2 linked regions of the Rattus norvegicus genome follow. The protein of the gene in region 1 purifies or fractionates together with the protein of each later gene. This does not show direct contact. Links are inferred from orthologs where the notes say so. Each region holds a gene or a part of one and is shown on either strand. Other genes may lie near its edges. The genes, in order: Mcm7 and Cdc6.

Evidence for each region.
Region 2: the proteins of Mcm7 (region 1) and Cdc6 purify together in Homo sapiens (affinity purification with western blotting; 3 studies listed by BioGRID). This does not show direct contact. The link is inferred for Rattus norvegicus from reciprocal best matches to the Homo sapiens genes MCM7 and CDC6.

The regions. Positions count from the first base shown.
Region 1 is NC_086030.1:22,156,291-22,167,686, reverse strand, and holds the start of Mcm7 (DNA replication licensing factor MCM7), read left to right. Parts: upstream 1-4,508; 5' UTR 4,509-4,567; coding exon 4,568-4,598; intron 4,599-5,045; exon of another isoform or gene 5,046-5,116; intron 5,117-5,278; exon of another isoform or gene 5,279-5,502; intron 5,503-5,907; coding exon 5,908-5,987; intron 5,988-6,585; coding exon 6,586-6,875; intron 6,876-6,947; coding exon 6,948-7,128; intron 7,129-7,393; coding exon 7,394-7,531; intron 7,532-7,848; coding exon 7,849-7,998; intron 7,999-8,166; coding exon 8,167-8,281; intron 8,282-8,362; coding exon 8,363-8,494; intron 8,495-8,717; coding exon 8,718-8,801; intron 8,802-8,910; coding exon 8,911-9,304; intron 9,305-9,566; coding exon 9,567-9,650; intron 9,651-10,292; coding exon 10,293-10,461; intron 10,462-10,552; exon of another isoform or gene 10,553-10,634; intron 10,635-10,756; exon of another isoform or gene 10,757-10,843; intron 10,844-10,938; coding exon of another isoform or gene 10,939-10,974; exon of another isoform or gene 10,975-11,189; intron 11,190-11,195; coding exon 11,196-11,305; intron 11,306-11,396. Other genes in the region: Ap4m1 (AP-4 complex subunit mu-1), read right to left, coding at 1-98, 201-254, 345-411, 492-554, 1,426-1,506, 1,589-1,699, 3,114-3,210, 3,287-3,393 and 2 more. UniProt on the Homo sapiens protein: Acts as a component of the MCM2-7 complex (MCM complex) which is the replicative helicase essential for 'once per cell cycle' DNA replication initiation and elongation in eukaryotic cells.
Region 2 is NC_086028.1:84,363,919-84,374,694, forward strand, and holds the end of Cdc6 (cell division control protein 6 homolog), read left to right. Parts: intron 1-478; coding exon 479-654; intron 655-1,256; coding exon 1,257-1,363; intron 1,364-2,970; coding exon 2,971-3,110; intron 3,111-3,659; coding exon 3,660-3,760; intron 3,761-5,543; coding exon 5,544-5,608; intron 5,609-8,066; coding exon 8,067-8,269; intron 8,270-9,040; coding exon 9,041-9,181; intron 9,182-9,431; coding exon 9,432-9,521; 3' UTR 9,522-10,321; downstream 10,322-10,776. UniProt on the Homo sapiens protein: Involved in the initiation of DNA replication. Also participates in checkpoint controls that ensure DNA replication is completed before mitosis is initiated.

The sequences.
Region 1 (11,396 bases):
AGGCGGCTGCAGGTGGAGGATCCGATGAGATTCAAACTCATCTAGATTGACAGAGCTATGGAATGACACCTCATCAACTCGAATCCCTGGCCCATAACCTGCCAAGAGAAGGAGACAGTTCTTCTGACCCATGTTTCAAAAGAGACATTTCCAACTTCTCTCCATAGTTTTTTGGAGGGAAAAACTCATGCTCTCCTTACCTCTCAGTTCTGACTTTCCAACACAGAATTCTTCTGTCAAGCCAATGCATATCTCTGTGGGAGGAGAGGATATGAGAGAAGGAGTAGCAAACACCAGCATACACATCACAAGGAAGCCTGCATCACACCGACATCAGCCCTCACCAGAACTGCTGGGGAGGAAGCTCTTGAGCCGGATCTCTCCTTGGACATCCACCTTCAACAGGGAGCCCTGGAGGCAGAAAGAACGTTAAGCTTCAGCCTTCCCCAGGTACCACTGCCCTTCACCTCCTGCAGGGGACCCAGACTTACATTAGATGCAATCAGAACAGACAGCCTTTCGACCACATCTAAAAACACTTCATTCTTTTGGCTCTAAGAAAGAGAGGATCTGAGTTACGGAGCTGAAAACATGTTTTGTTTTGGTTTGTCTTTTTCGAGACAGGGTTGAGATGGGGTTTCTCTGTGTAAAAGAGCCCTGGCTGTCCTGGACTTGCTTTGTAGACCAGGCTGGCCATGAACTCACAGGGATCTACCTGCCTCTGCCTTTCAAGTGCTCGGATGAAAAGCATGAATTACCACACCCAGTCTGGAAAAACCTGTCTTTCAATAGACAGGCAAAGTCAGGAATGGTGACACATGCTTGTAATCTAGCGCTTGGGAAGCTGAGGCAGGAGGACTGTCGTGAGTCAGCCTGGGTTACAAGGTGAGAGCCTGGGTTGGAGGACCCAAGGACAGCCTTATATCAAAAAGGCAAAATAAGAGGAACTACAGAGATGGCTCAGTCAGAAAAAAAAAAGTGCTTGTCACATAAATATGACGATCTGAGTCTGATGCCAAGGCAATACAGGTTATTATAGGTAACCTACAACCTACACTAGGGACGTGAAGACATGCAGGTCCCTGAGACTCACTGGTGGGCCAGCCAGCCCGACCTGGTCAGTGCGCTCCAGGCTAGTGAAAGATCATGTTTCCAAGGAGGTGGATGGCGTTCCCCGGGATGACATCAAAGGCCTGGTCCTTTGGCCTCCACACAAAAACTTGCTCTGCACATACACACACTCATGCATAAGACAAAAGAGGCAGCTGAAGGGACGGAAAGTTGAAGAAGAGTCCTAGGATGGGGGCCCAGGAGTAAAGGAAGGGATGCCATGTCAAAGGAGCAGAAAGATAAGCTGATTCTTACGACTTCAGGGTTGTAGGCCAAAAAAATCATCAAATCTGGCCCTACCGATCCCTCCCTTACCTGGTCAGAACGACTGGACAGGACAGGGCGGCTGGCTGCACTGCTTGGGGCCACTCTGTTCTGCTGCGTCTCTGCCCCAAACTGTAAAGTACCCAAAGCAACCACTCTTCAGCTTTGTACTCAGAGCCGACCCTCCTGCCCCTCTTCCTTCCCAGCGACTGACCAGACCGACGCTGCTGAGGTCGAAGAGGCTGAAAGGCTTGCTGACCGCGGCTTCAGTTTGGATGAAGTTCCTCAGCATGTCTGTGGACGTAGTCTGCACATAGCCGTAATCCTATGGACGGAAAGAGTGTGGATGTAGCCTCCCAACCACACACCCAGTAAGAGAGGACATTTCTTCACCGTAGCACGGGATACGAGAACAAAGTCCTTGGAGCTAGGGAGATGGTTCAGTGGGTAAAGGCTTGCTGAGCAAGTGTGTGGAGCTCAATCCCCGAAACATAGTAAGAAGCATCTGCCATCCCAGGGTTCCCATTCAGAGACGGGAGATGGAGACAGGAGAACCACAGGAGACTTGCAATCTAGTTAGCTTAGTGCACATATCAGGCTGGCCTTAAACTCAAGAGGGCCATTCCCCTGCCCCTGCATCCTGAGTGTGCCACTATGGCTGGCTGCTTATTCTAATTTTCTTTTCTTTTCTTTTCTTTTCTTTTTTCAAAGCTGGGGACCGAACCCAGGGCCTTGCGCTTGCTAGACAAGCGCTCTACCACTGAGCTAAATCCCCAACCCCTTATTGTAATTTTTTGAGACAAGATCTCATTATGTAACCCTGGCTGGCCTCGTTATGTAGACTGGGAATGCCTCTGGGTGCTGCTATATTAAAGGCATATACCACCATGACCAGCAAAGGACTGGAAAGAGAAGGACACACATGGAGACAGACAGAGATCCTGTGAGATGACTCTGCTGATGCTTGCTACCAAGCCAGTCAACTTTATTTCAATCCCAGGGACCTAGACAGTATGTTGGTTGGGAACAAGCAAAAGAAACTTATTCTAAATACTATCATTTCATTCTCAGACTCCATACATAATTCTCATACTCCATGATTACATAAAAAGAAACTAAATTCAAGATCCCAAGCCCTAGGGGGTCTGGGGACTTCCCGGTAGCAGAGCAGCTTCTGTTGTAAACAGTTGTCTGAGTTCAGACATCTTAGGGACAATTCGTACAGAGTTGTCTGAGTCCTGCCTTCTCAGGCACAGCTTGTAAGAGAACAGTGAGTTCAGACACCTCAAGGACAACTTCTCCATCTTGCTGGCAAGATCAACTAAGCCCAAGAAAACTACTCCTAATCTGATTGGTGAATGGTCCTTTGCTCAACCCCTTATGTCAACATATGATTGGACAGTGATATAGCTCACCTCACTCTCCTTCACTTTGTGGGGTCACCCTTTAAATATGCTAGGCAATTTCTCTTCAGGTTGTAGTTCAGTTCCCGGGTCTGTTCTACAGCCCTGATCAGACGGCAGCCCGATTACAGTACAGTTTTGTCATCTGCATTGACCTAGTGCTTGAGTTATGGTGGATTTATGTTGGATTTAAATAGACCCCACAACAAGTAGAAGAGACCTGACTCCAGCAAATTGTTCTCAACTCCACACATATGCAGTGGTGTGGGCAAATACATATATGCACACACGCAAACATGAATAAACTTTAAAAAGAGGGAAGTTTTTGAGCTTTACCAGCACTTCATCCAGGAGTTCGTAGACAAGCGCCACATTCCGTGAGATGGTCCCCTCATTGAGTGAGCCACAGTAGTCACCCAAGAGAGTGGCTAACCTAAGGAAACACAGCGGATTGTGTGAATAAACCTCTCATACACTCCTTCTTACGTGCCTGTTCCAGCCCCACTCACCTGGAAAGTAGCTCCAGGAGGCTGAAAGGAGAGACATTTTCTGAAGTTGTGGCCACCAAATAGAGACCACTGTGTCTGATGTGAATAAAATGACGATCATCGTGATACTAAGGCAGAGTTGAGGACAGAGGCATTATTAACAAAAGACCAGAATTGTAGTAATGTAGCCTGCAAGATAGCACCCTGGGGTCTCCAATCGTGATGGTAGAAGTGTGACGCTGGGCGATCCCTGAGACCTAAGACCTGGCCACCTAACGTGTAAAGGTAGCACCTACCTCTCTGAGTTATTGATAGTCTAGAGATGGGGATGCAAGGCTCTGCATCTGGCGTCTTGTCAGTACTCATCTATCTTACTTGGAGAAACGAATCCTTCCTCCTTAAAAGCTTCTTCCTGGTCGACACCTCTGTCTCCTGCGCGGGATACATGTCGGCCCGGAGATCCCCATAATAGATCTCCGTAATAAACCTCGCCTTTGCTCATTACATCCAAAAAAAAAAAAAAAAAAAAGCTTCTTCCTACCAAGCCGCCCTTGACAGGGAGAGATGAGGCACCCACCCACCTCCACAGTTCTAAGCCCCTGCTCGCCTGCCACAGTAGTTACCATGACAACCGGGGACTCGCCTCCCGGCAGTCCCGTCAGCTTCCGGTAGAAGAGCTCGGCCACATCACGACCACCACTATCCCCTCGGACTAGCCAGATGGAAAGATAGTTAAGGAGCAGGCGACACAGACTGGCCTGGTTTCGATTTCTACCCACCTCCCCTATCCCGTCTCCCGGTCCAAAGGATACAGTCTTTATAGATGAGCGGATCCCCCTTGGAAGACAGAATGAAGAACTGGGAAATCATGGCCGTTCTGAAGGATAGACAAGAAGACGGTGAAAGTTGAACCCACCCCGCCTTGCGGACACGGAACAAAAGGCCGCACTGAGGCTGGCGCTTTAAGAAACTCCTCCCACACACACACTCGCGAGCATTAATTTCGAACCGCGGGAAATCGGGTGCCCAACCCAGCAGAATCAGGCAATCTTCCACCGGCCCGCCCCCTAGCTCTCTGTCATTCAATCTAGATTCATCCAGTGATTGGTTAAAGTTAGGGGCCGGCAGCGGTTGGGAACCCCCTCTCTGATTGGCCCGTATTTAGCCGTATGGGTCACATGGGTGACGACGTTTCGCGCCAATTTCGGTTGGAGAGCTACGTACCGCTGCGCGTTCGTTTTCTGCTTCCCCGGAGTGAGACTTCAGAACCATTTAAGTCTTGCCGCACGGTCCCCGGCAGCGATGGCGCTTAAGGACTATGCGATTGAGAAAGGTGATGCTCTATAGGGCTGGGAACGGCGTCCTCGGAGGGAAACTTCTCTACCTACACCTGTTGAGGGGAGCTTGGGTCTTGGGGGGAGCCGAGATCTGTGACTCTGGGGACAAGCTAACTGCACCTGGGATAAGCAATGGGCATTAAGAATGGAGGAAGCAATTCTGCTTGGAAAAGATGATGTGGTTGTGTTAGGGAGAGAACCCAGTGAAGGCCACAAAGAGGAGGGGCGTGCTCGGGGAAGACCAGATGACGTGGAGCCTTCAGTACGGGGTTTGAGGGACTGGGTTACTAGACCAGCCTCTGCGCCTTGGGGCACTAGCAAATTCCCGCGTGCACTCGAGGCGCGCCGGAGCCCAGAGGCGGGGCTTGCTGGACCGCTCCGCTCCGCGATTGGTAGTTTTCGGCCGCCCTCCAAGCGGAAGTAGAGGCGGGCGGAAATGGCGCTACCTGATCGGAGGGCTGTCGTGTGTAAACAGTGTCCTTCCGCGCGGTGGCATCGGAGATAACTGCTCTAGGTAGGGGCGTGCCTGGGATTGGGAGGCTGAGCGCCGGGCGGTGAGCGTTGGCAGTATGGTGAATCCGAGTGGCCCTTTGGAGTTCTGGCCAATCCCCGCACGGCCACCGGTTTCAGGCGGAGGAATCCTGGGTTGTGAGGCGGCTGGAATCCAGGCCCATGTGCTTCTTTGTTTACTAAGAGCGGAAGCAGTGGCGGGAGCCGGGCATGGGGTGCCGAAGGAGGCCTAGTGGCAGACGTTCTGGCGGGAGCCGGAAAAGAAAGAGCTGTACTGTACTGGTAGAGGGAGAACCGAGGGTCTTAGGTCGACTGTGAGCAAGCTGAGAGAATTGAAGAAACTGAGGTTCCTAACTAAGGCAGACACTGGAATTTCTTGAGGGTGGTTAGGTAAGATTATTGTAACTGCCCAGGGACCTATATTCTTCCCTAGGTAAAAACAGACTTGTGAAAGGGAGCACTGCTACTTTGAGAACTTGGTAGATTTGTTTTGAATGTTCATTTAACTAACTAGTTCATAAGTCCCGCCAAGCGGGTTTCTTAGTTTTCCGTTAAGAGTTTGAAATAAAGAATCCAAAAGGGAGAGTGATTGTTTTTAAGTTTTTTTGCTACGTTATTGTTTGTGAGAGCACGTGCGCGTTTGCACGGGCACATCACAGCTTACAGTTGGGTGCTAGACACCCGCAGAACTCTTCCAACCTGTGGGTGGGTCCCAGAGATTGAACTCCAGTTGTCAGACTTGGCGTGGGCTTTACACCTCACTGTCCACAAAGATATTTTATTTCATATTTGTAGAAAAAGTGAAGAAGTTCCTGCAAGAGTTTTATTATGATGATGAGCTTGGAAAGAAGCAGTTCAAGTATGGGACCCAGTTGGTAAGTCTCAGGGTGGGTTATGGGGAGTGGAGTGGTGTGTAAGAACTTGTATAAGGTGCCCTACCTTGTGATAGCAAGAATGGCTATCAGTGAATGACTTGGTTTTGATTGTTTTTATACAAAGTTTTGAGTTCTTCTATGTTTACTTTTGGATTTTCTTAGCTGTTTTACTTGTATTTATTCCTGTATGCTTGTGCTCACATGGGCATGCCATAGCATGTGTGGAGGTCAACAGGACAATTTGTGGGAGTCTCCCACCACATGTGTTTTGAAGAGCAAGCTCAGGTCATCTGGCTAGATGGCAAGTGTCTAACCTGCTGAGCATTCTCATCCATGCCTAGCTCTTGGTTTTTAGGGATAGTCTGTGTGTAGCACAGACCAGCATCAAGAACACCCTATGTAGTTACATAGCTAAGGTTGGCTTTGAGCTCCTCATTCTGTTGTCTTCTAAATCCTAAGTGCTGGGATTGGGAACACCTGTCACTCTGCTGGACACTATTCTGTTTTTCCCCATGGGAGGTAGGCCAGTGACTTAGAAGCGCTTTTGTGGGTGAGGTGAACTTGACTCTAAAGTGTTACTGTCTCTTCCTTACCTCAGGTTCATCTGGCTCATCGGGAACAAGTGGCATTGTACGTGGACCTAGATGATGTAGCTGAAGATGACCCTGAGTTGGTCGACTCAATTTGCGAGAATGCCAAGCGCTACTCGAGGCTGTTTGCTGACGTAGTACAGGAGCTTCTGCCTGAGTACAAGGAGAAGGAGGTGGTGAATAAGGATGTCCTGGATGTTTACATTGAACACCGATTGATGATGGAGCAGCGGAGCAGAGACCCTGGGGCAGTCCGGAACCCTCAAAACCAGTATCCTTCTGAGCTCATGCGTAGATTGTAAGTACCTCTGTGGGAAGGGGCAGGGACTTGCTCTCCAGGGCCTTGTTGACAAATGTTTCTTTCTCTTAGTGAGTTGTATTTCCAAGGCCCAAGTAGCAGCAAGCCTCGAGTGATCCGGGAAGTACGGGCTGATTCTGTAGGGAAATTGTTAACTGTGCGTGGGATTGTCACTCGTGTGTCTGAAGTCAAGCCCAGGATGGTGGTGGCCACATACACTTGCGATCAATGTGGGGCAGAGACCTACCAGCCGGTATGTATACAATAGGGAAAAGAAAAATAGGCCTCTGTTCTCTGTCCTTGAAATTGTCCCACTGATTGTAATCTATCATTTTCTCCCAGGCTATTACAAACATTTTGGTATCCATTTAATTCTTGTTAGCGATTTGATCTCTGGTTGTTTTGACTTGGAATATTTCAAGAGGCTCTTATACTTTGAAAATGTTTTGACACAGCAGAAATGATTGCTGTGGTGATTGTAAGGCTTGATTTCCTGTTTCCTTCCTTTTTTTTTCTAGATCCAGTCTCCCACCTTCATGCCTCTGATCATGTGCCCCAGCCAGGAGTGCCAAACCAACCGCTCAGGGGGGCGGCTGTACCTACAGACTCGTGGCTCCAAATTTATTAAATTCCAGGAAATGAAGATTCAAGAACATGTAAGTTTGGGGGATATAAGTCCTGCACCTGGTTGTGAAATGGCAGGAAGAAAGATTGGGAAAGAGGTTTGCCTAGAATTTTTTTTTATTTGCTCTAAATCAGAAAGTCAGGAAGTGATTTAATTGAAATATTTTCTGGTTGCGTTGGGAGGAGAAGAATTCAGCTTCCTTCCTGATGAGGTCTTCTAATCTTAACCTGAATCTTAACCGTAAAATGGGCATCTTCTGGGGTGATACAGTTGGGCTAGGTCTCTATCTGCCTTACTTTTCTCCTTGTCTCATGTGTTCTGTGTCATGCCCTCCCCCCAATCTCCTAGAGTGACCAAGTTCCGGTGGGAAACATCCCTCGGAGCATCACAGTGGTTCTAGAAGGAGAGAACACAAGGATTGCCCAGCCTGGTGACCATGTCAGCGTCACTGGCATCTTCTTGCCAGTCTTGCGCACAGGGTTCCAACAGATGGCACAGGTGAGGGTGTTGGGAAATGAGGGAATAACTGCCTTTCCACCTCATCTACCCACTCTTAACACCCTGAGAAAATGAAAGCCACTAAGCTGGAACTTAGAAGTTCTCGGGGACTCTGGTGATGGGGAACTTAAAGGGAACACATCTGTACACTGGCGTTCTTCTGCCCAGGGCTTACTCTCGGAAACTTACCTGGAAGCCCATCGGGTTGTGAAGATGACGAAGAGCGAGGATGATGTGTCTGGGGCCGGAGAGCTGAGTGCCGAGGAGCTGAAGCAGATTGCCGGTGAGGCCCCGGGCTCAGGTCGTAGCCGAGCTTTACCCAGCTCTTGTCCTGAAGAAAATGCTATGACTTAATTTTTTGCAGAGGAAGATTTCTATGAAAAGCTGGCTGCTTCTATTGCTCCGGAGATCTATGGTCATGAAGATGTGAAGAAGGCGCTCTTACTGCTCCTGGTGGGTGGTGTGGACCAGTCTCCTCAAGGCATGAAGATAAGAGGTAGGAGGACAGGAGGCGTTGGAAGGCAGGGTTATTTGGGAGGGTGGAAATGTAAGTATCCCGTGAGTCTGTGAATAACAACTTAGGGTTAGTGACTTGGCTGAGTGCTTGTCTTTGATGCAGTAGGGACTTTGGGAAGGGGTCCAGGTCTCAAAGGCTCTTCTTCCCTCTGGGTTGACAACTTGAGTCGAGGGATCACTCAGGCTTCCTTTACATTTGCCAGGAAACATCCACATCTGCCTTATGGGAGATCCTGGTGTGGCCAAGTCTCAGCTCCTGTCTTACATTGACCGTCTGGCGCCCCGAAGTGAGTATGGCAGGGATGGGGCTTGGTGTTTGATTAAGTACTATGAGGCCTTTGGAAGGCCTGGGGAAAGCAGTTCCTTTCTGGAGCAGTTTGCTGCTTCTCTTTGCAGGTCAGTACACAACGGGCCGGGGCTCCTCTGGTGTAGGGCTCACAGCAGCTGTGTTGAGAGACTCTGTGAGTGGGGAATTGACCTTAGAGGGTGGTGCCCTGGTGCTGGCTGACCAGGGCGTGTGCTGCATTGATGAGTTTGACAAGATGGCAGAAGCTGACCGCACAGCCATCCATGAGGTTATGGAGCAGCAGACCATCTCCATTGCCAAGGCAGGAATTCTCACCACACTCAATGCCCGATGCTCTATCCTGGCTGCTGCCAACCCTGCCTATGGACGGTATAACCCCCGCCGCAGTTTGGAGCAGAACATACAGCTTCCTGCTGCTCTGCTCTCCCGATTCGACCTCCTCTGGCTGATTCAGGACCGGCCCGACAGAGACAACGACCTCCGGTGAATGAAGTATAGAGACAGTCCATTTTAGTGACTTTGGGGAAGGGAGGTAAAGTCAGAGCAACTCAACTTGTCTGTGTTCAGACACAGTAAACACTTTCCTTGTCTGCAGTTCATGGGGAGACAGAAGGTTGGAGCAAAGATGGTGAGGGGTTTTCTGGGAGACCTGTTGGTCATTCTTTGGAGAAAAGATGGGGCTAAAAAGGGATACTGAGTCAAAATCTCAGGGTGTTACAGCTCTAAAGCCTTGTCTTCTCTCCAGGTTGGCCCAGCACATAACCTATGTCCACCAGCACAGCCGGCAGCCCCCTGCTCAATTTGAACCTTTGGACATGAAACTTATGAGGTGAGAGGGATGGGGATGTCTCAGGGGAATACTTGTGTGTGGCATTGTCTTATGCCAAGTGTGTCTGAAAAGCTTTCAGTCTGCAGAGGACAATGTATTTACTTCCTCCTCCCTCAAAGTAGCTGAGCCTGAGAATACTGAGCCTGGGTCTTTAGCCACAAAGCAAGGGATCATCAGAAACTTTTCTGGTTTGGGGTGACAGCAGCAGGCTGTAAGTAAACTTAGCTGCTGTGCATCCTGAGGCAAGGGGATCTTTTAGAGATCTTTTAGGGGTGTCTCCAAAAACTACTGGCCTCCCCCATATATAAAAGGGTCTCCCTTACTGTCTTCTTCTTGTCTTAGGCAGGTATAGCTTTTTGGCCGTGTCTGTTTCCATAGCACAGATGACTCAGCACCTCACAAATCTGCAGGTTTCTAAATTGATTTTCTCTGGGCCTCTGAAGTCTGTCCCCTTATGTGACAAGTTCAGAGGAGTTAAATCTGCCCAATGCAGGTGCATTTGTCTTGCTTTGGGAAGCCTAGAGAAGTCCCTCAGTTATGCCTAAGCAAATAGTTGTCCACTTCCAGCATAGAATATTAAGTAGGAAATCTCCTATAAAGCATGCATGTCTTCCGCTTTCCCATGAGCCTTGTTTCCCACAGACGGTACATTGCCATGTGCCGCGAGAGGCAGCCCACAGTGCCTGACTCTCTGGCTGACTACATCACTGCAGCGTATGTGGAGATGAGGCGAGAGGCCCGGGCCAGTAAGGATGCCACCTACACTTCTGCCCGGACCCTGCTGGCCATTCTCCGACTTTCTACTGCTCTGGTGAGTGCTGGGTCCCTGTCTGCTAGAAGGCTGACCCTTGCCTGCCACCTCACCTAATGTCCTTCAAGCTGCCTTCTTCCCTCCCACCAGCCCTGCTGGGACTAAAGTGCTGACAGTGCAGATAGTGGTCCTCTCTGTGCTACCGCACTGTGGGTACTTGCTGCTCCAGCAGGGCACATGCAACACCCACGGAGGGAAAGGCTGCTTGAATCCACGAGGGGGTTGGAAGGACTTGAGTTCCTGATGCCCTAGATATCTTAGAAGTCTTCCTTCTGTCCTCCCCTCTTGGACCTTTAGTCATGGGGGCTCCAAAGTGCTGTTCGTGCAGGTAGTGCATTGCCTGACCTACTGCTGAGCTAGCACTTCCCGAGCCCCCAGGACACAGCCTCTGACAGTGGCCCTAGCTGAGCACCCCAGGCTCCACTTGTCACGATGGGGAGCCTAGTGGAGTTCAGAAGGGTCTGGTCTCCCTCACAGGACGGCAGGACACCCACCGGGACTGGCCAGTGTTGAGAGGCGGAGACACGGGCAATTGCTGGACGCTGCCCTGGGCATTGCACTTGTCTCGGTCTGACAGTGCCGGCCCAACACTGCAGATGTGGGGGGCAGGGAAGAACCCACTTTTGTTCTATGAGTAGGCGAATGTGGCTTGCCCGGGTTTGAAGCCAGAGCAGAGATCCTTGGTTTCACCCCTCCTCCCCTCCTATCCCTATTTCCCCACGCCTTCCCCTTAGGCTCGCCTTCGGATGGTAGATATTGTGGAGAAGGAAGATGTGAATGAAGCCATAAGGTTGATGGAGATGTCAAAGGACTCCCTTCTGGGTGAAAAGGGACAAACGGCTAGGTGAGTGTCTTAATGAAATTGGGCTACCTGACATAATTGAGCTGGTCACTTTTGTGGCTTCTGCACATGGACAAGTTTGACTTCAGGATTT
Region 2 (10,776 bases), on another chromosome or scaffold:
TTATTATATAGAGGGCATCAGATCCCATTACAGATGGTTGTGAGCCACCATGTAGTTGCTGGGATTTGAACTCAGGACCTCTGGAAGAGCAGTCAGTGCTCTTAACCGCTGAGCCATCTCTCCATCCCCCAACAATTGACTTTTTTTTTTTTTCTGGAGCTGGGGACCGAACCCAGGGCCTTGCACTTGCTAGGCAAGCCCTCTACAACCGAGCTAAATCCCCAACCCCCAACAATTGACTCTTAAGGGTTAAGAAAGAATACATGATTAAGAGATCGGATGCTTCCTAAAAGTGAGACATTTTGTTGTTTCAGGGTATGAGTCTTTCCAAAGAAAGCAGAGCTTCGCTCTCGTGTCCTGTTAGCTCTCAGAGACCTGGTCAGGTTTGAGGAAGTTATTGTCTGAAGCCAACTTACCTCCCATGTTTCCGTCTTTTTTTTTTTTTTTTTTTTTTTTTTTTTTTTTCTTTTTAACCTAGAAGGAAGTGAAAGGCTTTAAAACTATCGTGCTGAATTGCATGTCCCTGAGGAACGCTCAGGCCGTGTTCCCAGCCATTGCTCAGGAGATTGGTCGGGAGGAACTCTGCAGACCCACCGGGAAGGACTTGATGAGAAAGCTGGAAAAGCACTTGACAGCCGAGAGGGGCCCCATGATGTGAGTGTTTCTCTGCTGCCTGATGCTCAGTGGAAATCTGCAAGGTGTTACCCCGGGAAAGAACTTAATTTTCAGAACATTCTAACTTATTTATTGATGGTTTTGGGGCTGGAATCCAGGGCTCTGTGTGTGTTAGATAAGCGTACTGCCACCCAGTCACACCCACAGCCCCTGTGCTTTCTTTCTGATTATTGAGTTTAAATTTTAACTGTTTTGTTTGGGTTGGGTTTTTTGGTTTGTTGTTGGTTTTTGGGTGTTTTGTTTGTTTGTTTGTTTTTTGTTTTGTTTTGAAACGGGGCTTCCTTTGTGTGTCCTTCGTTGTCCTCGAATTAGCACTGTAGACCAGGCCAGTATTAAACTCACTGTGATCTGCCTGCCTCTGCCCCCTGAGTGCTGGAATTAAAGGCGTGTATCATTTCTGCCAAGCCTAGTTTAAAGTGTAACTGTTTTTAAGCAAGTTCCTTGAAAACAATTGGACAATACCAGTTAGTGATGGGGGCTGTTGTGTTACCAACCTCAGGCAAGCATCCTAAGGTTAGCTCAGATCAAGCCTTGGAAGGTTGAGAATATGACGGGTACTAACGATGTCTCTTTCTATGTAGTGTGTTGGTGTTGGACGAGATGGATCAGCTGGACAGCAAAGGGCAGGATGTGTTATACACACTGTTTGAGTGGCCGTGGTTAAGCAATTCCCGATTGGTGCTCATTGGTTAGTGCTTGCTTGTTAATGTGACACGTTGTTAATTGTCTCAAGTCTGTTCAGCTTGTGACATATGTGAATGTTGTGTGTACAGAGGTTGACATCTCAGGTCTTCATTTTTTTACCGTCAAGTTTTTTTTTTTTTTTTGTTTTTTTTTTTTTTTTTTTTTTTTTTTTTTTTTTTGTTTTTTTTTTTGTTTTTGGAGCTGGGGACCGAACCCAGGGCCTTGCGCTTCCTAGGTAAGCGCTCTACCACTGAGCTAAATCCCCAGCCCCTCCATCTCTCCAGTTCTTCACTGTCAGTTTTTTTATTTACTGAGGCCGAGACTTTTGCTGAACCCGGAGCTCACTGGCTCCCTGGCTTCTGAGGATCTGAACCCAGCTCCTCGTATGTACTTAGCCAGTGTTTAATCCACTGAGCTGTGACATTTCCCTGCGCACCTTCGTTTCCTCTCCTTATTTTATGTGCACAGGTGTTTTGCCCGGGATGCAGTTCTTCCCTGCTTGGGTCCCTGATACCCATGGAGGCCAGAAGAGGGCATCTGATCCCCTAAACTGAAGTTACAGACCTATCATGAGCTGGCTTTCTGTCTTAGCAAAATAAGAAAGTTACTGTGGTAGAGTAAGCTAATATAAGGCACATTGATTTTATTAGGTCTGAATAAAAAAGTGACAAAGAAGCCAGACAGCACAGGAGGAAGCAGGGAGGGCATGATTTAGGGCGTAGTAGTAATAGTAGTGGTGGTAGTAGTAGTAGTAGTAGTAGTAGTGGTAGTAGTAGTAGTATTGCTGCTGTTGAAGAGATGGCTCATTGGACAAGGTTCTTGCTGCATTAGCATGAGAGATCCTGACTCAAAAAATAAGGTGCAGAGCCCTAAAGGAGAACATCTGACACCAACTTGGGCTCCGCCCACACACACACACACACACACAGGGAAGCGCAAATACACATGTGTACATACAACACACAATCGTACAAAGTGACATAGGCAGGGAGGGGTGTGAGTTGCCGGTAGATCACGTGCTTAGCGTGCACAAAGCCCTGGCCTCCGTTCTCCCGTATGTGCTCTAAAGAAAAGCACAAAATACCGCATTCTGAAACAATAGATTTGCTTTTTTGGTTTGTTTTGGTGTTCCAGTCAGGGTTTCTCTGCCTTGCCCTGGCTGTCCTAGAACTAGCTCTGTAGACTGGGCTGGTCTTGAACTCAGATCTGCCTGCCTCCCAAGAGCTGTGATCAAAGTGGGGGCACCACCGCACCTGGCTCAATAGATTTATTTTTTAAGACAGGTCTCACTGCAGCCCTGGCTAGCCTAGAATTCAACAGAAGTCTGCCTGCCCGCCCTCTTTTCTTACCCCCTTCTTCCTGGAGACAAGATCCCTTGTAGCCTCAAATTCATGATCCTCCTGTCTCAGTCTCCTGTGTTGGGACTATGAGCGACTATCCCCACCTAAGTACTACATCCTACCTACTAGGTCCACCTTACCTTCCAGTGTGGGGTATGGGGCAAGCGGAAGCAACCATTGAAACGCTGGGTTAAGCCTGGGAGTCTTAGGGGGCTTAGTTTCCTTCTAGGATGATTTTGCTGCTGGTGGTAATTGTTATTTACCTTCGCAGGTATTGCTAATACCCTGGATCTCACGGACAGAATTCTGCCGAGACTTGAAGCTAGAGAAGGCTGTAAGCCGAAGCTACTGAACTTCCCACCTTACACCAGGAATCAGATAGCTGCGATCTTGCAGGATAGGCTTAGTCAGGTGAGTGCCGATGCTGGGCCAAGTTCTGCTGTGGGGATGCTCTCCGCGATGGGACGCAAACGATAGGTTTAAAAGACTCCAATCTGATCGCTTTATTAATGGTGTGGCAAGCGCCTACAGACCATAATGAGTGAGAACATTTTTATGTGAATTTCTGCACGTGGTTTCGCTTATTGGCCATTTCACTGTCGAAACAAGAGTGGGAATTAGAGGGCTCATGACTCCTTAATGGCTTTTAAACAGTGCGACCCGGGCCAGTGTGGTGGCTTCATGGGTAAAGGCACTTACTAGTCACTGCTGGCTCTGATGGCCTGAGTTCAGTCCCTGTTTTATTTATTACCAGTACCGGAATTCACGAGGCCTCTCGTGCTAGTGTTTTGTGCTGAGCTCTCTTTATTTTGCATTCCTATTTACTATGCATTTATTTGAGACAGAGTCTCGCTGTGTTAACTTGACTTTAGATCCTCCTGCTGTAGTCTCCTGGTAGTTAGGATTTTGGGCCAGTGTTAACTAAGCCTGACTCAATCATCTCCTGGGTCTCGTCCGCAGGTATCAAAAGACCAGGTTCTGGACAGTGCTGCGATTCAGTTCTGTGCCCGCAAAGTATCTGCTGTCTCAGGGGACATCCGGAAAGCGCTGGATGTTTGCAGGTGAGTTATGGCTAGGTTGACTGTTTTTATTGAAGGAAAAAAAAAAAAAAGGAGATGTTGATGATCTGGTGTCGCCTAGATGAATATGACTTAAGAGGCTCCACTCTGCCTCTTTCCGAGCTCGGAAAAGAGGACTCGTCTCTCAGTGGGGAGTGCTGGGTTTCCACCGCGTTAATGTCTGAGACATTATCAGTCCATTACCTACGGAGGGAGAAGCAAATGAGATGTTGCCAGCACTCCCCGTGGTGATTATAGATTGGTTAATTACATTTGTATTAAAAAAGATGCGAGTTTGCTTTTCCATCCGCTGGTCTCAAGCAGGTTTATTTATGGACCTGAACCACCTTTTGCCTTCAGACTTTCTTCTTTCCTTTGCTTTTGTGGGCACCCCTTCCTCCTTCCAGTTGGTGGTCCCCCAAGTCCTACCCTAGACCTCTTTCTCTCTTCTGTCCCCCAGCTCCTCCTGCTGGGGAAAACCTCTGTGCTGACTGATGAAAGTTCTTCCTCCCAGTAGGGGCACTGGGTCCATTAAAATGATCCTCTGCTGTGCTGGCCCGCTGGTCCAACTTACCCCTATTGCCTTACAGAAGATCCAGGTCTGCCCATGGCCTCCTGTGGGCAAAGCACTTAAGAAAGAACAGTGGGAGAGGAAGCTCTTCCTGTTGCTAGATGGTGTGCTCTAGACTGAGAGTTCTCCCTAGTCAGCAAACTTACTTGAGAAAAACCGACAGCTATGAGTGATGACCATGCAGCAGGCCAGCAAGATTAGCCAACACATGTCCTCCTATATCTGACGACTCCCCTTTTGGGTCTGCTGGGTGGGAGTGCTGTCCAGCCCCACACTGTATACCCCGGCTACCCAAGACATTTTTCCTCATCTAAAATGTTATTGGCTCAGTGTATGACAACCTACCTGACATCGTAAAAGCGAGAAGAGTAGCAGTGTTTCCTAAATTCCTGGAGTTGTTATTTTAAAGGTAGATAAGTCTCTCTTAGGCCACAACATAACCCAGTTTATTTTCAAGCAGGGTCTCCTGGGTAACTGACTGGTCTGGAACTCACTATGTAAACTGGCCTCTTTTTTTTTTTTTTTTGGTTCTTTTTTTCGGAGCTAGGGACCGAACCCAGGGCCTTGCGCTTCCTAGGTAAGCGCTCTACCACTGAGCTAAATCCCCAGCCCCGTGAAAAGGCTTTTTTTTTTTTTTTTTTTTTTTTTTTTTTTTTTTTTTTGTGGTTCTTTTTTTTTTCGGAGCTGGGGACCGAACCCAGGGCCTTGTGCTTCCTAGGCAAGCACTCTACCACTGAGCTAAATCCCCAGCCCGTAAACTGGCCTCTTAATATTTACTGTTTTAGCTGTGTGTATGTGTGCTGTGACTATTATATGTATGTGCAGTGCCTGTGATGGCCAGAAGAGGGCATTGGGTGGTTGAGTGAGCTGCCTGTTGTGAGTGCTGGGCACCAAACTTGTAAGGGACATTTTTTTTAATGATTTTTTTATTTATTTATGTATATGAGTTTACTGTCGCTGTCTTCAGACACACCAGAAGAGGGCATCAGATCTCTTTACAGATGGTTGTGAGCTACCATGTGGATGCTGGGATTTGAACTCAGGACCTCTGGAAGAGTAGTCAGTGCTCTTAACCGCTGAGCCATCTCTCCAACCTGGGTCCTTAATTTTTTAAAAATGTCTTTTTAGTTAATGTGCCTGCTTTGGGGTATGGTGGCTTGGTGTGATATTTGGTTTGGCCCAAACTAAATTAATTTTAGAAATCTTTTTTCATAGGCGAGCTATTGAAATTGTGGAGTCGGATGTCAGGAGCCAGACAGTCCTCAAACCACTCTCCGAATGTGAGTAGCTTACCTGCTTCCTATCCGCCTTTCTAAAGAGTTACCTTGCTGAGGAGGGGGAAAGACCCAGTTAAATCTCCCTTCCCACAGCCGATACAAGAGGGAGCAGGGTGTGGCTTCGTCTGGTTCATTGCAGTCTTGCCTGCCAGGGTCAGTCTGTGTAGTACTAGAAATGAGTTCCCAGGGGTGTTCGTGAATGGTGGGGCTGGAGGACTAAGGTTTCTTCCTAGGCTCTGGGAACGAAAATGAGGTTGCAAGGTTGAGCCACCCTCTCAGGGTATGTCTGGTGCCCTTTAGGTGGTTCTGTGGGGGAAGGTAATGCCTGGTAAGTAAAGGGGAGAAAGGAAGAAAGCTTCAGGGAGCACGCAGATCGTGAGTTCACCTCAGGGCAGTCTGCGAGGCAGAGCACAGACCCCGGGGCTGTCACGGACAAGGCTGGTTTCCCTTTTCTTCGCTGGGGGATGTCACTCAGCTGCAAACCATATACTTACCAGTGTTAGGTGTCCAGCGTTAGTCTTTAGTTCTTTTTTTCGGAGCTGGGGACCGAACCCAGGGCCTTGCGCTTCCTAGGCAAGAGCTCTACCACTGAGCTAAATCCCCAACCCCGCGTTAGTCTTTAGAAACAGGGAGGGCTGACCTGTTTCTTCTGGTTGAGAGTTCAGAATAGAAACTTCCTCGTCAGAATTTACTGGTAGAAGCCGTTTAAAGGCTTTCAAATGGTAACCCAAATTAGTGCTTGGGCAGTGAATAGGCAGTGTATACCAATGTGTAGACTGTTTTCTCTGTCTGTAGGTTACTCCATCCTTACAGGCTCCCTTCCCCTAGCAATAACACACAGGCTCGTCAGTGGCCCTGGGGTCGTCAGTGGCCCTCGGGTCAGCACTGGCGCACGCTGCTAAAAGAGCTCCCAGGTTCCTGGTGTAGGTTATGGGAATGAGCTACTTCCTGTCTTTTGACTTCTGGGGGCGGGAGGCTGGCTATATAGAAAGCTATAGCGATGGTGACTTCCACTAAATAAGAGGGACTTTCTAATGCGCAGAAATAACTCGGTTCCCCAGCATTGAAGACAAGCAACAAGAAGTTGGCTAGACGGCAAGGGTGGCGGGCCATACCCGGGATCCAAGCACCCAGTACAAGTTCAAGGCCAGCACAGGAACGTAGACACGACTCTTAAGTCTTGAAACAGACGGATGGGATAGGTGTCACGCTGGGATTGTTTCAGAAGGGACCTTGCCATTGTGTGGGGAGGGAGTAAGGATAGACTCCCCGAGTTCCTTTTATCGTAGAACTTCTGCTACTCGATCCGTGAGCTCTGGTTTCTCTATTAGCCCTCTGCAGCTTCCTGCTTGTGGTAAAGCAATAGAAGCTGTTGTGGGGCAACTGCAGGCGGCCTCAGGAAGTAACTGCAGGCATAGGTTGTTAGAGAGCAAATCCTGCCTCTCCCGCAGCTGCTCTTCTCCAAGCAGTGGGGCCACCACGGCCCGTGTGCCTTCACCGTAGTTCCCAGCCTCCAGCTCTGGGGAGGGCGCTACACGCTAGGCTAGCCCCCGACATTTTTCTCAAGTGTCTTACAGAATAGTTTGGACACGTGAGGGAACCTCAGACAGAGGTCATTTGGGAAAGCCATCTGGGGTGTGGGGCCTAAGCCAGGACTGAGTTACTAGCCATGCTTACCCACCCACTTGATTCCAAATATTAGATGATTTTCCACAACTGTTCCTTTTGCTATTGGGCTTTGCTTCAGAGTTTTAGGCCCAGGATCGGCTGAGGGGCTTTGCACAAGGCAAGTGCTGGAGCACCAGGCTTCGTCCCCAGACAGCCTCTGGGACGCTTAGCCGTCCTTGTTGGCATCTGTCCGGGTTCTTGCCTTTTCAGGAGGGTAGATTAATTATCTTCTCAACATTAAACTACATTCTAAAGGACAAGATAAATGGGTGGGGCTGGGGATTTAGCTCAGTGGTAGAGCGCTTACCTAGGAAGCGCAAGGCCCTGGGTTCGGTCCCCAGCTCCGAAAAAAAAAAGAACCAAAAAAAAAAAAAAAGGACAAGATAAATGGAACTTTATTTCCCAGGGAAAAGACAATCCTGCCTTCTGGGACTGCCTTTCCCCTCATCTTCCACCCCAGAAACAACCTTTGCTGTCACGTGGGCACGTGGGTTTCTTTTAGCTGAAACCTGCATTGTGCGTCTCCACGCATATAGAGGCCGTATTTTAGAAATGGAATAAAGTGCCAGGCGGTAGTGGTGCACATCTTTAATCCTAGCACTCAAGAGGCAGAGGCAAGCAGAGCAGAGGACAGAGTTCGAGAGCAGCTACACAAGAGACCCTGTCTCGGAGGAGAAGGAAGGAAGGAAGGAAGGAAGGAAGGAAGGAAGGAAGGAAGGAAGGAAGGAAGGAAGGAAGGAAGGAAGGAAGGAAGGAAGGAATTAAATATAAGTCTTGCTTATTTACTTTGCAGGTAAATCACCCTGCGAGTCGCTGGTTCCCAAGCGTGTCGGTCTCGCTCACATATCCCAAGTCATTTCGGGAGTTGATGGTAACAGGGTGACTTTGAGCCAAGAAAACACACAGGATTCCCTTCCTCTCCAGCAGAAGATCTTGGTTTGCTCTTTGCTGCTCTTGACCAAGCGGCTAAAAATCAAAGAGGTCACCCTGGGGAAGGTAAGCTTCGAGGCTCGGCAGGTAGAGCCGAGGCTCCGCTGCACTTGGGAGGCAGAGGCAGGTGGAACTTTGCACATTTGACCCGGTCTGGTCTACATAGTGGGTTCTAAGCCAAGACTACACAGTAGTGAGGCATCATCTCAAAAACATGAGCTAAGGCCAAGCAGTGGTGGCCCGTGCCTTTAAGAACAAAATGCTGGGAGGCAGAGGCAGTGAGTTGACCATTAGCCAGATGTGGTGATATAATGAGTGATCCTGGCACCTAGGAGGCAGAGCCAGTACGGTTGCCTTCCGGGGCTGCGTAGAACCCATCTTTGTCTCGTCTCTGTTTCCCACCGAACTTGCATAGAGCTCCGTTCCTAAGTTCTACCTTCGAGTGAGATGACTCAACCATCAATAGCAATTGCTGCTCTTGCAGAAGACCGGGGTTCCATTCCCAACGCCCACACAGTGGCTCACAACCATCTGTAATTTTAGCTCCAGGGGCTCCGACAATTCTTCTGCCCTCCGTGGGCATCAGGCATGAAAGTGGTGTATGTACATAAATACGTGCCAGCAAAACACACTGAATGAATTTTTTCAAGGATAATCATAAAGTATTTGGGGCACCAAAGGTCTGTTGCCTACTCGAGGGTTCAGTGAAACTGGGTTGGGGGGGGGGATATTCAGGTAACTCAAGACACGGTTTCTGGGTTTACTTCTGTTTTTCAATCCGTAAGGTTATGAGATGTGGCTTTTAAGTGAGATCTGTTCTCCCTCATTTCCCCGCAGTTATATGAAGCCTACAGTAGTGTCTGTCGTAAACAGCAGGTGGCAGCCGTAGACCAGTCTGAGTGTTTGTCCCTTTCTGGACTCCTGGAATCCAGGGGCATTGTGGGACTGAAGAAAAACAAGGAGAGCCGCCTCACCAAGGTACAGGAGTCCCCGCTTTTAACCGTGCTGTCTTGGAGCGCATGTCCTTTGCCAAAGTAAAGACTAGAAGTGAATAGTTCTGCTGGGTAGGGCTTAAGATGTGAGGACGGGGCAGTTCGATTCGGGCCATTGAGGACGGCAGCAGTTATCCTGCCGGTCTGAGAGTGAACTATGATGGGGGGTGTGACTGTGTATGCCTATGAGCGCGTGTGCTCTTTCTTCATCATGGAAAGTCCTTTTCTCTCTGCAGGTGTCTCTGAAGATTGAAGAAAAGGAGATAGAGCATGTCCTAAAAGGCAAAGCTTTCATTGGGAACATCCTCGCTGCCGGGCTGCCCTGAACGGTTCTCTTCCTTAGGGCACCTGCAAGCGTCCTGCTGGCGTTTGCAGCTCGGGGGAGTCTTCGTTTTAGTAAGGTCGTTCGGAAACAGTTAACGGCCTTTTTTACTCCGCACCAGTAAATTTTAGTGTATGAATTCCTGAGTGTTAGCACTGGCTAATGTCCTTGGCTCTTACTGTTTTTACCCATAAAAATGACCGAGTGCTGGGTGTGATGGCGGATGCCTGTGCTCCCAGCACTTGGGAAACAGAGTCAGGAGTTCAAGGCCATCCTTTGCTACACAGTGAGTTTGAGCTAGCCCGGACTACACAAGACTGTAAAAAGTAAAAGCAGGGCTGGGGATTTAGCTCAGTGGTAGAGCGCTTACCTAGGAAGCGCAAGGCCCTGGGTTCGGTCCCCAGCTCCGAAAAAAAAAGAACCAAAAAAAAAAAAAAAAAGTAAAAGCAATGACCCCTTTTAAAGCAACATTCAGTACTTTTCCCTTCCTGACCACGGTACCTGCAAGTGTGTACAGACTTGTGTTGAAGAATTCGTATGTATATTACCTCTGTCTACAAAGGGTGTGTTTTGTAAAGAACTTTGAGGTTTAGAAAGATGAAACGGAATGATCCAGAAAAATACACAAGCCTACATGGGAAACACAAAGGACATTTTGTGCAGAGGACGCTCCATACATGTGACAGGTGCTGCCGCACCGGACTTTCTAAAGACGGGTGGACGATTCTCCAGCGCTCCCCACCAGTATGGGGGTGACAAGGAGAGTGTAACTACAGATTGTGAATATATTTATTTTCAAGTTTGGTTCGTTTGGGCTGCGTTTGTTGTCTTTGAGGGTTTTCAAGCACACAGGTGCCGTGGTGTTCATACCAGGGTCAAGCTGCCGGAGTCGTTTACCTTCTATGGTGTGGACTGCAGGGACTGGACTCAGGCCATCAAACATGGCAGCAGGCGCCTATCCTTCGAGCCATTTCATGGGCCTGTGTTGGTTGCCTTTTTAAGCAGCCACACGCTGTAGGAGTTTACGTTTTCAGAGGTTAATAGGAAAATACCTTCACCAGGCCTTGGGGCTGTACACCTTTAATCCCAGCCCTCTGGTGACAGAGGTAGGGGGGGTCTCTGTTCCAGACGTGTTCTAGGACGGCCTGGTCTACAGAGACTCCAGAAACAACGACAACGAAAATTAAAAAGAACAAGTGGAAATAGCCTCTCGCTTCCCCACAGTGTTAACTTCCCTCAGATGAAGCCATTGTTTCAAT